Caenorhabditis elegans: one gene and its partners. The protein of the gene in region 1 purifies or fractionates together with the protein of each later gene. This does not show direct contact. Each region holds a gene or a part of one and is shown on either strand. Other genes may lie near its edges.

Region 1 (4,450 bases):
ACTGTTTCAGAGTTTTCTTTTGAAATATAGGTAATTGGTACGTCGTCAATTCTTCATAGAGTAGTTAGATTCCATAGAAATCCAAATGTTAACTACAAATATACGATGTCCAATCGCATTTTGAGCAGATCTGCATGACAATTTTTTCCTAAAAAGTTAGGTTCTCTGATCTAAAGCTGATTCTTGTTGTTTCTTTTTCAAATGTGAAGGTTTAAAGCTGAAGAATTTTTTGTAATCGCTTAATTGTCGTTTTTTAAAAGCATTTTCAATGTTTCTATTTCACGCTTCACATATAACCCAGAAGCTCGCAAACCATTCATTGTTTGACAAAGAAAAATATGACATAATGGCGGAGTAAAAGTCGAGAACTTCCTCAAAAAGATTTTCCATTTTAATCCCATTTGTCAACAGTAAAAATACACAATTACTCCCACGATATTTATTTTTGAAATGGGTTAACTATTAGTTTAATTATTGATATCTTTCCCTCAACCTGTTCTATCAATTGTTGATGCAGTTTTTATTCAGTGTTGCAAGGTTGATGGTTTATTTCTGTTGGGACAGAAAAAGAAGAAGTAAAATAACTAGTTCGATTTTAAATTCTCGTGGTGTTTGGAAGTTTGCAACAATTTTAAAGTGTTAGATGACTCACAGGGTTTCAGTTTTAATAGATTTTTTAGTAAGTTTGATGGTGGGCGTCATTGGAAATTTTTTTAATTTATTCTATTCAGAAAATTTTAAAATTTTGGAAGTTGGTCAAAACAAAATCTAGTTTCATATTTTGATCATGTTTTAATAATTTGTACTCAAGCATCATATGGATTAAAACCTGTAGAAATGCTCGAAACAATTTGCAGAATGATTCACTCCAAAATCTCATTGATTAGAAGTCTCCCAGCCGTCATCATCATCTCTGTGCCGACATATGTTTTACTGAGAGAAGACCTAAAAAAGAGAAAAAGATTACGAAATAGGGAACGGTGATGAGAAAATAGTGTATAAGAATAAGAGATTTAAAGAAAAGGGCGTTGCCTTCTTCTATCCATTTTTTCTACGTCCGCCCGCGCAATGTTCATAGAATTAGAGACAGAGAATCAATGAGAAAATTGAGAAAAAACTGTTTGCAAATAGACATAGAGACATACAGTCATCGGGTTTCTTCTACCATTTTTCTTCTTGTTCTCGAAATTTTCGTTCACTTTTTTCTGGATTACACTAACTATTGGTTGTGGAATTTACAAAAGACTAGGCCTAACCCTGGTACTTTTAACTGATTTAAAAAAATGTATCAATACGCTTATTCAAGTTAAACATGTTTCAGTTTGTTGGTATACGTGTTCGAACTTTCAAACTAAAGTTTATAAAGATTAAAAGCTTTAGAAATCAACTCATATATTTTGTAATAAGTTGCAGTAATTACTTAAGAGTTACTTAAAAATTTAATTGACGGAAGTCAATTAAATTTTATAATGCCCAAGTTATTTATCAAGAATATTTATTTTTGGCAGCTCACATCTCCGTAATTTTTGAGTGAATTGAAAAATTCTTGTATCAGATTCAAATTTAAAATATTATTTTTTAGTTTTTTAGATTGATTATGAACAGTTTCAACCTGTTTAATTTCAATTTCTCAAGATTTTTGAACATTTCCTAACTATAACAAACAATTTGCCTCATTTCTCCAACCACACCCTACTTCACTCCCATCCTTCATCGCCTCATAAAAGGAAATGCAAGGATCTTTTTATTTGGATGGTTTCAAATTGAAATTTGAAATTGAAAATGGAAATTCTTTTTAAATTGTAATTTTTAATTTGAATACTCTCTTTTTTCTGTGCCACCCGTTCTGTCTGATGTTCCATCATATTTATTTGGAACTATTCTTGTTCGTTCTCTTGACCTGTTTTTCATTTCCGCTTTTTATTTATTTTTATAATTGAAATTTTAAAACAAAACTTAATTTTCAGAATGCCCGAGTACATCAAGCAAGTTGCAATCACTGGGGACATTTCCAGAATAGGAACTGATGTATGTTTACTTTTTTTTAAAACAAGATATGAATTCTAGTAATTTAATTTTAAATGTGATTATTTAAGATTTGATGCATCAAATTAAAAATATATTTTCAGGATGACCTGATCCGAGCCTGGTGCTCCGAAGTGGCCAAGGAAATTTATGAGCAAAAGTGTGAATTTGCTGTTGTCCACGTTCAAGGTCTTCACTCGGCTGAAAATCCAGATTATGCTGCAAGAGTTATTTGTGGATGGTAAGAATTTTTTTCTTGAAAATTTGAGAGAGTTTATGACTAAAAATATTTCCAGCATCACTGATAATCCAGAAATCTACAGAGCTTTTGATAGCTCTATGGCATTTTTTGATACCAAATTAACTGTATGTTACACTTTTAAAAATATTTGGAAATTCATTAAATAAGTTCAGGGTCTTGGAAACCTGTATCTTTTCAAGAATCACTCAGATATACAGTACTACGATAGATTTTCTTCAACTGGGTACATTAATGTTCGTTCTGGGCATCAACATTCAATTGGTTAGTTTTTTTTTTTGGGATTTTCGTGTACTCTGATAACGTAACAAAGGTATTTACATTTCGTAAATTTATTTCATGTTCTAGTAAATTTTGTACCTTGACAGGTTAGTCATTTTGAACTACTCTATTCTTAAATTCCCCTAAATGTACAAAAACATGTGATCTTGTTTCCAAAAAATTTCAGGTTCCAATGAATGTGATGGATTCATTCAGAATACATTTGGACAAAACTACACTTTTAGAAGAGATTTTTATGTAAGTATTTCTAACTTTAAAATTAGTATTTTCAATTAAAAAACCCTGTTTCAGAATGATGATGGAACTCGTGATTTGGCAAATCAAAGAACTGGATTTCTATTAGCCAGATTTCGAATTCACGGAAAAGAGTTAACATTTGTTAATCTAAATCTGCACTCTGTTCCATTCGAAGATGTAAATGAGATTGCAACAAAGAATTCCAGTATTACAAAAGCAGCATCAAAAAGGGAACAACAAATTGAAATGCTTTTAAAAGAGTAATTATATTTAGCTATTAATAAACGTTTGAATGAACAAGAATTTCAGATTGGATGAAGAAGGTCTTCGAAACGATGCAATCCTTGTCGCTGGATCCTTCAATTCTCAACTCCATGAAACTGATCTTTTGAATTATTTGGCAAAAACTCAATTGGTTCAAACTGTTGCAAAGAAAGATGAAGATGGAAATGTTGAATCAATTGAGCACGTTGATCGGCATGGAAGAAGAACAACCACTGTTGAGAGAACTCGATTTGATCTACATTCAATTCATGATTGGTTCTTCCGATTGGGAAGAGGACAAATGGTTAAAAGATATAATGGAGAATTGGCTAATATTGCATTCAAAGGAAATTTGAAAGAGGAGACATGCTTCTTCCAGGTTTGATCTGAAAACTTTGAGTTTGCCTAGTCTTCAGCTTTCAGCCTTCTCGTCATTACGAGCTTAACGACAGTGGGAAAGAAGAGTTTCAGAGGACTCTTTGCCCAGCATGGAGTGACAGAATTTTGTATAACGATCGGATGAATGAACTTTTCAAGCACGTAAGTTATCAGCTTGTTTTTTTTTTTGCTGCATCGTTATATTTTCAGGATTCTTTCTGTGCATCTGGACTGTACTATGGTCTTGTTGCTGAAGAGAAGTTTGTTGGTCCTCACAAGCCAGTCGCGCTTCATGCTTCCATTTGCTTGAAATAAAATTTATATTTTCACTGTCTTCATCTATATTTGTTTTTTGATTTTGAATTTAATTGAAATTTGTCGGCGCTAATAAACTTTTTTTTAGATCGATTCGCTTTTTTGTTGTTAATTTTTGAGAGTTACATCAATTTTTAAATAATTTTCAGACTATCAATTAGTCTACACACTAAAAAAGTTTCGGAAGTCCGCTAATATTTTCAGACACGTATAATAATTCAAGTTTTGAAGAGTTTCAGAAAAAATAAATGTCTTTAAGAAAAAAATATTTTTCTAAAACACTACATGTTTGACTCAGTTTTTAGTTATCTCAATATTCTTTCAAACATCAGTTTAAAATTTTTTATTAAAAGTAACTTCAATTTAAAGTTCTCAAAAATGAGTGCAGTGGTCAGAGAGTGAGGTTTCAGTGTGTTATTACCTAGGGGGCGGGGCGCGGGAAGAGTCGATTTGCACGTGATGCCAGGCCATTACTGTTTGATCTACAAAAATGCGGGAATTTGTCTTCAAAAAAAAAGTGACTCAGCACGTTCTTAACCATGCAAAATCAGTTGAGAACTCTGTGTCTCTTCTCCCGCATTTTTTTGTAGATCTCCGTAGTTCAAGCCGAAATGAGACACTCTGACACCACGTGGACTTGTGCCAATTTACAGAGTTTTCCTCGTTGTCAGAATTTCGTAATTCGGCAAA
Region 2 (4,513 bases), on another chromosome or scaffold:
ACTATTCCCCCGGTTTATATCTCATTTTCTTCATTCCGCCGGAAGGATTTCTGTCTTTTTGGCACACCGCTTTCTCAATTTTCCTCCCTACTAGACACTAATTCAAGTCTCTCATGAAAATAGCGGATCAGTTTTCGTAAAATGTTAGTTTAAGACCTCCCCCCCCCCCCCCGTCCCATCTACTATTTAAACATTTTCCAATTTGTCGTCATTCTTATATTATTTAATTCATCATTCTTGTCTTTCGTCTGTATTTTTATCGGAGAAGCTCTCGACTCGCTCGAAAAACGAAAACAATGAAATAATTGAATTTACGCAAATTTCTTTATACACAATGACTATGCGATTCTGGAAATTAAATTTTCAGCATTTAAATTTGTTGAAAAGGAAAATAACAAAACGGGAAAGAAATTCATTATAGGAGAATTGTGTTATTTTGGAACAAACATTAACATTAAACGGTAAATTTCCAAATTTTCAAAAAATTCAGGCTCCCTGCAATGTTCAACAGCTAATTAAAACATATTGAAAGTATAAAATGTGTTTGGAAAGCAGAATTTTTATTTCAGACCTAATCACAAATTTCTTGAAAGACACTGTAATAAGTTTTAAGGCAAGAATTCCGGGTATTGTTGGCGAATCTCGTCGAGCTTCCAATAACTCGATTGAGTTCCATGACGTGTCACAGAAAGTGCGGCCAAGTTGGCAGCCGAGCGTATTGATGCGGAAATCGGATGGCCGGCAACCAAATGAGCAGCCAGTGAACCACAGAAACAGTCACCGGCTCCCTGGAATTTTCAATTAATATTATACCTATATGCAGATTGATCTTGTTCATATTTCCTCCAGGTTACTGTAGAAAACTTGCGCCAAAAATTTTGATTTTGATAAAGTAGTTTTTTAGAGGCCCATGCACAACATTTTTAACTAAAAATAACTAGAAAGGCAACTAATTTCTTTCGTTTCAAAAAATATATTGTGGTGGGACCCAAGCTCGGACAAAATTTATTTTTTAGTATTACCGTAGTATCAACTGCATCGACTTTGATCACGGCGGTATGCTCAACATCATCGACTCCTTTGGATGCAAGCAGGACACCTACAATTCAAAAAAAAATTTATTGTTTCAAATTATCCCAGTGTAAGTCCCCCAACCTTTGCCTCCGAGAGTTATGATCGCATGTTGAGGTCCCATTTTGAGCATTGCACGTGCTGCTTTTTCAGCGTCTTTCACGTTGTTTTGAGCGATTCCAGTGATGAATTCCGCCTGGAAAGTTGAAATTTAATTTATTTTTTGTTCAGAACAATATTTGGAAAAGTTCAATTGATTAGAAAAAATAACATAGACCTACTTCATTCTCATTGGTACAAATAATATCAACCAGCTCGAGAATCGTCTTATCCATATTCGGATCCCCAGGAGCTGGATTTAAAAAAGTGGTGACTCCGTGACTTCTAGCAATTTCGAAGGCTCTTCTATTTCCTTTTTCGTCAATTTCTCCCTGACAAATGACCATTTTCGAGCCAGCAATTTTTGAAGAGTTCGCATCAGCGATTTCAGGCGACATTTCAAGATTTGCACCCAGCGTCACCACAATGTTGTTTTCGCCTGGAAATTTTGGAATTTGGATTTGAAATAATGTAAGTCTCATGTAAATCTGAAAATCAAGAAAATTTAATTTTTCGAATTTACCATATTTTAATAGTTTTACACCTCAATTGCACTGTAACAAATCGAACTTTTCATGTCTGTAGATGCTATTTGAAATATTTTTTCTACATATGTCAAATTCCAATTTTCTACTAGATGCATCACATTTTGAGCTCACTTTTTGAGTCTAAAAATTTGTAATTCTCCTTACCCTCTCTCCCCCACTTCTTACTATTAGTTCCAGTTCAAAGTTATTTGTTTGTCGTCGTCACTGAAGGTTCTTCGAAATAATAAGTTATTTATATTACGTCACCAAAAAAATGGGGGAAAAAGAAAGAGAAAATAGATTCTATGAACGTAGACAAATCGTTTTCAGAACAAAATTAGAATTTCAGTGATCTACGAGCTATAAGAACAGATATAGCTATAGGAACTTATTCTTAACCCGGTTGGCAATTTTTTCTTAGAGGTAGGGTCTTGCTACAAATATTGAATGTTTCTTCAAGACATTCAAGAGGCCACACATAATCTTAAATATTTTTTTCCCGCCAAAACTCGGATACAAACCTTCTTTGTTAACAGTGATAGTCGCTGTGGCGGTATGTGTCTTTTTGGTCCGTCCCACACAACTTGTATCAACTCCATTGCTGCTCAAATCCTTAATATTAGAATCTCCGAACATATCTTCTCCAACCATTCCAATCATTGAGACATTGATCCCTAGGCGAGCCGCAGCAACTGCCTGATTGGCGCCTTTTCCGCCGGAGCCCAGCTTGAAATTGTGACCGCGCACCGACTCTCCAGGTCTTGGGAAACTATCTGTGTAGCTGGAAATTGGTAGTTTATAATGTAAAATTGTTTAATGAAAGATAAAATTTAAAAAAAACAGACCTGACAAGATCCTGAACGATACTTCCGAAAACCACGATTTTCTGGTTTTCACTTGACATAACGATATGCTTTTTTTTTAATTTAGAAAATTCTGAAATAAAAAAATAAAAATGCGATTGATAGCACGTGTCAAATAATCAAAGAAACACAAAAAAGAGAAGAGAGAAAGAGAATCAGGTGGTTAGCTTGTTGAGGGCAAAAACTGTTTGCCAACAAATTTGGCAGCTGGTCAGTTATGGTAAGAGAATAAGACACACGTAGTATTATTTTCCAGAAATTTTTTAGGTGGCTAAAAATGCCTGCCTGCCTCATGCCTACACTCTACTGAAAGGAAACATGTTAGTCCTCTTGAAAGCGAAGCAAATAATTTGTAGGCAGGCACGTAGGCCCGTTCGCATGAAGAACCTACAATGATGACAGACCCTATAATTCCTAGAAAAAGCTTTCAAAAACCAAAAGCAAATTTTAAAAAAAGCAAAAAAATTTTTTTTGAAGGTTCCCAAACAGATAATGTTCCCATTTTAAACCATTCAGGTCAGATAAAATTGTGATCAAAAATTAATTGTTTTGGTTATTTTTTTGATCTTTAAAAATTTTCACTGACAGTGATTTTATGTGAAAAAAAAACAAAACAATGGCGTCATATATCACGGGCCAAAATTCAGAAATCAGGCGATAGGCAGGCACGTAGGCCTGCAAAATGGCACGTGAATGGCCTCAAAATGCATTGAACTAAAAACAGATAATATTTGGAACTCGTATCTTATCTTTTCCCCTTCTTATCAATTTTCATCGGCTTATCTTGATTTCTTTTTTCTTTTTTTCCTTTGCAGTCAAGGACAGAATTTTAATTTTGAAATTAATTTATTCTCTTCGGGGAACAAAAAAAAAACTGAAACCGGTCTCCGTGGATTCAAACAATTGTTATTTTAATAATCAATAAAATTAGGAAAATTAATGAAAAATATATAAATATTAAATCAAAGATGTAATATCTAAAAACATGGTAACAGGTTTTGAAAGAAATGAAGACAATGAACAACACGTGGAAAAAAAAATTGATGAATTTATGAAAATCTAGAAAAATGACTAAATTTTGACTTCTTCTGGAGCTCCAGGATCACACGAGTAGTGGCGTCTGAAATAAAAAATTGTTCATTGATCGGAATAGGTTACTTTGATAAAAACCCAGCGCGGTGATCATTAAAAATTAAATCATTAAAAAAAAAAAAAAACTCATCAGTTTGAAAATGAACAACTAGTTCCAAAATAAAAAATATTATGGAAAAACTTTCAAAACCTTTTTTGAAATTTTTATTCCAGTGAAAAAGTTCTGAACATTCAGTTTTCAAGCATTACCTTGTAAGTCGGTCAAAATATGTTATCCTGGTTTTTTTTTACTAATTTCGTACTAATTGTTTTTTTCAAATTCTAGGAGCTCGAACCTGCAGGATATCTTAAATAACCACAGAAATTCACAATTTTTTGGCGATTTATGAAATCTTTGCCTAAAAGTTTTGAAAAAACAAGCAAATCACGGTTTCTTATTATTGAAATCCAAAATTTTTATTTAATTTTTTAAAGAAAAATTTAAGAAAAAAATTTTCAATTTGCGTGACCTCGGTCGTGGAACTTATTATTTAGATTTGGAATATATAAATTGTCCAAATCTGAAGCTGAATCAATCAGTTCTCACTTTTATCCAATGCTTACAAATTCAATTATCAATTTGCTTATTACAATAGTGCTTTCTAATCAACTATCATACTATCAATACCGTGCTGGAAACTATCTCAATTATTTGAACGTCTTCGTCTCAAAAAAAGCCGTTCTCAGGATTTATCGATTTTCTTGAATTTCAGGAAATTCTTTCCCAGATTTATAGTTCTTGGGGTTTCCAACTCACTTGAATATACTCCTCGTCACATTCTGATCTCTCATTTTATAGAAGAGTAAGTAAGCATCCTCCGT
Region 3 (5,647 bases), on another chromosome or scaffold:
GCCGAGTTTTTTTTTTGGTAGTTTTCAGAATTTTTAACAGTGTTATTCATTTACCAAGTGTACTCCCTATTAGTTATACAGTGTGTAATTTTCTTGCATTTCTAAGAGTCATCCTAATATTAGAACTTCAATCAGTATTTCAATAATTCGGGACAAGACAAGGCGTACCTTGTAGAATTTTCAGATAATTCTTCAATTCCTGAAAAAATAAACCTAGACTTGTTCAAAACGTTTACACATGTTAGCACTTGTCTTGCTTTTTACAACTTAAAAGGCTACTAGAGGTAATACGGGGAATGATTGTGAGACCAATTTTAATAAAATACGTTTCTATGAATCTCAACTTGGGATCAAATAAAAATATATATGCAAAGTCTTTCTGAATAAAACATGGTTATACAATGATACGCGGTAAACTATGAAAAACGGTAATTGTAATATTATGAACCAGCCGTGGTCCGCACCTTCGGCGCGGCCCCCGACTTCTAGGGCTGAAAATCAATTTTTATGAAACTACCGTAACCCTACAGTATTCCTACCGTACCACTATTGTACCACTACAGTACCCCGACTATATCCCTACACTAACCCCAACTCACTATCCCTCCAGAAGTCAAAACTTCACAGACTACAAAGACTACATAGACTACAAACTATGGACACACAGAATAAGCGCTTTATATTATATATAGTAAATTATCATGAAGAACAGAGACATATGAAACAAAAATATCAATCAAAAAACCAACCAGCTTGTGCTCAAACATCTTCTGTTTTTTTAACTTAGTAAATTTTAGTCACGCTAACAGAAATTCCGTACTCTATGAATTTTGTGAACTACAGATTCTAGTGATTCTAGATTCTAGTGTATTAGTTTAGTTATAGCATGGATTCGATTGCATTTTTTCAAATGTTTTTTTTTTTGAAAAATAAAACGAATTTTTGCTCTTCAGTTTCCCAAAGGAATTTCCACCTCACCATCAATCTGTGCAAAGTTCTCCCACTTGATAATCTTTTTTAAATGATCTGATATCAATGATAACAAAAGATAAAAAATATCGGACACAAATCTCTGAATTTTCTTTTTATCTCTCAATATGTCTGAGAGCGCATTGTTTCAATTCTCAAAAAAACCACACTGCAACATTGTCGTAACCTCTTGGGTCAAGTACGCAACGTGTATGCAGATCGGCCCTCTTCTTCTCTTCCCACCGCACACTATTTCACTGTGCACATTTACCTTTTTTGACTGTTTCTTGAGTTCTGAGATGGTATCGTTTTTTCTCGCCGCCTTTTTTCTCGACATTAGCCTTCTAGAAACACTGGACAACGACGCAATTTCGTCCTAGCTGATATGAAAGATGACTATCTTCGACCGACCTTGGCACACACACACACATACACAACATACACAAAACGCTCTCACATTCAATACAGCCACACACACTAAGCGCGCTCAGACACACACAAAAACGGACAGGTCGACTACACCGATTCGGCACGCCTCCATTAGTTTTCCTCGCATTCTCTTTTTCATTACAATGCACTTTTGTCGTTCTTTTCTATCGAAATCCTTTTTTTTTTAAATTTTTTCCATATCTAACTTTCCAGATATGGCTTTCAACAACCTTATCCGCAACTTGGCTATCGGAGATAACGTCTACAAATACTTTGACTTGAATGGTCTCAATGATGCTCGTTACAGTAAGTATAACTATTTTACATCCTATTCTCAATCTATCTAAAATATATCTGCATATATTCAATTTTGGAACTTTTGTAAACGAAAAAAAAAACAGCGAATTTCGACGAGCAAGAATAAATTCATTATGTTAAAGTCATATATAAATCATTTTCTTTAAAAACCTTCCCAAAATTTTCAGACGAGCTTCCAATCTCCATCAAGTACTTGTTGGAAGCCGCAGTTCGTCATTGCGATGAGTTCCATGTATTGAAGAAGGACGTGGAAACCATTCTTGATTGGAAAAACAGCCAGCGTAACCAAGCTGAGATTCCTTTCAAACCAGCACGCGTTATTCTCCAAGATTTTACGTGAGCTTGAAAATAAATTACCAAATTTATGTACATCAAGCAATTTTCAGTGGAGTTCCAGCCGTCGTAGATCTTGCCGCTATGCGTGACGCCGTTCAAAATATGGGTGCTGACCCGGCCAAGATCAACCCAGTATGCCCAGTTGACCTTGTCATCGATCACTCCGTGCAAGTCGATCACTACGGAAAGTACGTTCTGCGCAACCTGGTTTATACATTTATTGTATTTTTTTCAGCCTTGAAGCCCTTGCCAAGAATCAGTCCATTGAGTTTGAGCGAAACAGAGAACGCTTCAACTTTTTGAAGGTAAGGAAAGGTGAAAATGCCACTTTCAGAGTTTCACTGTCACGTTTTACTCTCCCCATCACTTTTCGGAAAATCACGCTATGCATTTGATTGCCCTTATCACTACTTTGTTCAATGAACACACAAATATTCAGATAGCTTAAATGAAATTGTATTATCAAATTATTTTCAGTGGGGATCCAAAGCTTTCGACAATCTTCTTATTGTACCGCCAGGATCTGGAATCGTCCATCAGGTTAATCTTGAATATCTTGCCAGAACAGTGTTTGTTGGAAAGGATGGCGTTCTCTACCCTGACTCCGTCGTTGGAACCGACTCCCACACCACAATGATTGATGGAAGTGGTGTTCTTGGATGGGGTGTTGGAGGAATTGAAGCTGAAGCTGTGATGCTCGGACAGCCAATTTCCATGGTTATTCCAGAAGTTATTGGATACGAATTGGTTGGAACTCTCAGTGATACCGTTACCAGTACCGACTTGGTTCTTACAATCACAAAGAACCTTCGTGATCTCGGAGTTGTTGGAAAGTTTGTTGAGTTCTTTGGAACTGGAGTTGCATCGCTCTCCATCGCCGATCGTGCAACAATTGCTAACATGTGCCCCGAATATGGAGCAACAATTGGATTCTTCCCAGTCGATAGCCGTACCATTGACTACCTCACTCAAACCGGACGTGATACCGATTATACTCAACGCGTGGAACAATACCTCAAGTCTGTTGGCATGTTCGTCAATTTCACCGATGACTCCTACCGCCCAACATACACTACCACTTTGAAATTGGACCTTGGAAGTGTAGTGCCAAGTGTCTCCGGACCTAAGCGTCCACATGACAGAGTTGAGCTTGCTTCTCTGGCTCAAGATTTCTCCAAAGGGCTCACTGATAAGATCTCCTTCAAAGCTTTTGGCCTTAAACCAGAAGATGCCACTAAATCTGTCACAATTACCAACCACGGAAGAACCGCAGAGCTTACTCACGGGTAAGACTATAAATTAGAAGTACATGCAAAAAATAATGTTTCTTCCAGATCCGTAGTTATTGCTGCCATCACATCCTGCACAAACACCAGTAACCCAAGTGTCATGCTCGCAGCTGGATTGGTTGCCAAGAAGGCTGTTGAGTTGGGATTGAATGTCCAACCATATGTGAAAACATCCCTCTCTCCAGGATCAGGAGTCGTCACAAAATACCTGGAAGCATCTGGTCTTCTTCCATACCTTGAGAAGATTGGATTTAATATTGCTGGATATGGTTGCATGACATGCATCGGAAACTCTGGGCCACTTGATGAGCCAGTAACAAAGGCCATCGAAGAGGTATTGTTGAAACTACTGTTTTCTTTTCAAAATAATTGTTTATTCAGAATAACCTTGTCGTTGCCGGAGTTCTCTCTGGAAATAGAAACTTTGAAGGAAGAATTCACCCACATGTTCGTGCTAACTATTTGGCATCTCCACCTTTGGCTGTTCTTTACTCGATCATCGGAAACGTCAATGTTGACATTAACGGAGTTCTTGCTGTTACTCCTGACGGAAAGGAAATCCGACTAGCCGACATTTGGCCAACCAGAAAAGAAGTTGCCAAGTTTGAGGAGGAATTCGTGAAGCCACAATTCTTCCGCGAGGTGTACGCTAACATTGAGCTTGGATCCACGGAGTGGCAACAATTGGAGTGCCCGGCTGTCAAGCTTTACCCATGGGACGATGCCTCTACTTACATCAAGAAGGTTCCATTCTTTGATGGAATGACTAGCGAGCTTCCATCACAATCCGATATTGTAAACGCACACGTTTTGTTGAATCTCGGTGACTCGGTAACCACTGATCATATTTCTCCAGCTGGATCAATCTCGAAGACCTCTCCCGCCGCCAGATTCCTTGCTGGACGTGGAGTAACGCCAAGAGATTTCAACACTTATGGAGCTCGCCGTGGTAACGATGAGGTAAGAGTTTATTCATTCAATATATGATTTTCTAAAAACTTTGAATTTAACAACACATCACGTTTTTTTTTAAATTTCAGATCATGGCTCGTGGAACATTCGCCAACATTCGTCTTGTTAATAAGCTTGCGTCGAAGGTTGGTCCTATTACACTCCATGTGCCATCTGGAGAAGAGCTCGACATCTTTGACGCTGCTCAAAAGTACAAGGATGCCGGAATTCCAGCCATCATTCTTGCTGGAAAAGAATATGGATGTGGCTCATCTCGCGATTGGGCTGCAAAGGGGCCATTCCTCCAAGGAGTCAAGGCTGTTATCGCTGAAAGCTTCGAAAGAATTCATCGTTCCAACCTGATTGGAATGGGCATTATTCCATTCCAATATCAAGCTGGTCAAAACGCTGATAGTCTCGGACTTACTGGAAAAGAACAATTCTCAATTGGAGTTCCAGACGATTTGAAGCCAGGACAGCTCATTGATGTGAATGTATCCAATGGTTCAGTTTTCCAAGTCATCTGTAGATTTGACACTGAAGTCGAACTCACCTATTACCGCAACGGAGGAATCCTCCAATACATGATCAGAAAGTTGATCCAATAAACTGTTATTTTAGCTTAAATTTTTGAAAGTCAATTTTTTCTATTTTTAGATAACTATTTACTTTTCGATGCATCAATCCTTCTCTATTTTCTGTGATATTTTATGAACATGTTTGAAGTCCAATAAATTTGTGATTTGGAGCAACGAAATAAATCAATACTTTTTATAATTGGGCTATAAAACATGTGGATGGTCAAATTTATTTTAGTTTTGGCGTCTCTGTTTTGCTAAAACCACTTAAATTCGTAATATTTTACTAAAACTCAACAAATAACGTATTTCTACTATTTATAGGAGAAAGAAATGTGCTTCCAGTTTGACAGTGTTTAGGATATAACATTTTGCAACTTTTTCTTAAAGGTCGTCATCACTAATTGTATTTTTTGTTCTCTCAGTCATAAGAGTATAAATAAATAAGAAAACATCTTCATTGAGAACAACAAAATTGGGTGTAAAAGCTCAAACATTCTAGTTGTTTGAACAAAATGAACAGAGAGATTACGGTATTTATTTGTACTGAACTGACTTTTTATAGACTAACATTTCAGCAGTTCATTCGTACTATTCAGTCCCATTTAAAAGTGCACACTCACCCAATAAAATCTCAGTTGCCCTATAGCTAACATCACTAAAGTAATATGAGACCCTTGCCAGCGCAAAAGATATTTTTATTTCAAAATAAGTAAATTTTGCATAACTTTACGTTCTTTGCCAGAGAAATGAATGAAGACTGTAATAATTGACCGC

What was found.
Region 2: the proteins of C01B10.3 (region 1) and F07A11.5 fractionate together in Caenorhabditis elegans (co-fractionation; one large-scale study listed by BioGRID). This does not show direct contact.
Region 3: the proteins of C01B10.3 (region 1) and aco-1 fractionate together in Caenorhabditis elegans (co-fractionation; one large-scale study listed by BioGRID). This does not show direct contact.

What each region holds. Positions count from the first base shown.
Region 1 is NC_003282.8:6,618,870-6,623,319, reverse strand, and holds C01B10.3 (Endonuclease/exonuclease/phosphatase family protein), read left to right. Parts: upstream 1-1,967; 5' UTR 1,968-1,968; coding exon 1,969-2,028; intron 2,029-2,129; coding exon 2,130-2,266; intron 2,267-2,321; coding exon 2,322-2,391; intron 2,392-2,439; coding exon 2,440-2,548; intron 2,549-2,732; coding exon 2,733-2,803; intron 2,804-2,857; coding exon 2,858-3,063; intron 3,064-3,112; coding exon 3,113-3,446; intron 3,447-3,490; coding exon 3,491-3,607; intron 3,608-3,655; coding exon 3,656-3,760; 3' UTR 3,761-3,852; downstream 3,853-4,450.
Region 2 is NC_003280.10:11,610,425-11,614,937, reverse strand, and holds F07A11.5 (Ribokinase), read right to left. Parts: upstream 2,639-4,513; 5' UTR 2,602-2,638; coding exon 2,543-2,601; intron 2,479-2,542; coding exon 2,219-2,478; intron 1,610-2,218; coding exon 1,353-1,609; intron 1,268-1,352; coding exon 1,156-1,267; intron 1,100-1,155; coding exon 1,023-1,099; intron 789-1,022; coding exon 609-788; 3' UTR 547-608; downstream 1-546. Other genes in the region: F07A11.4 (ubiquitinyl hydrolase 1), read right to left, coding at 3,632-3,680, 4,449-4,513.
Region 3 is NC_003284.9:11,338,263-11,343,909, forward strand, and holds aco-1 (Cytoplasmic aconitate hydratase), read left to right. Parts: upstream 1-1,611; 5' UTR 1,612-1,613; coding exon 1,614-1,704; intron 1,705-1,883; coding exon 1,884-2,052; intron 2,053-2,102; coding exon 2,103-2,240; intron 2,241-2,287; coding exon 2,288-2,357; intron 2,358-2,529; coding exon 2,530-3,338; intron 3,339-3,386; coding exon 3,387-3,675; intron 3,676-3,722; coding exon 3,723-4,301; intron 4,302-4,381; coding exon 4,382-4,900; 3' UTR 4,901-5,065; downstream 5,066-5,647. UniProt on the Caenorhabditis elegans protein: Catalyzes the isomerization of citrate to isocitrate via cis-aconitate. Has probably no RNA-binding activity.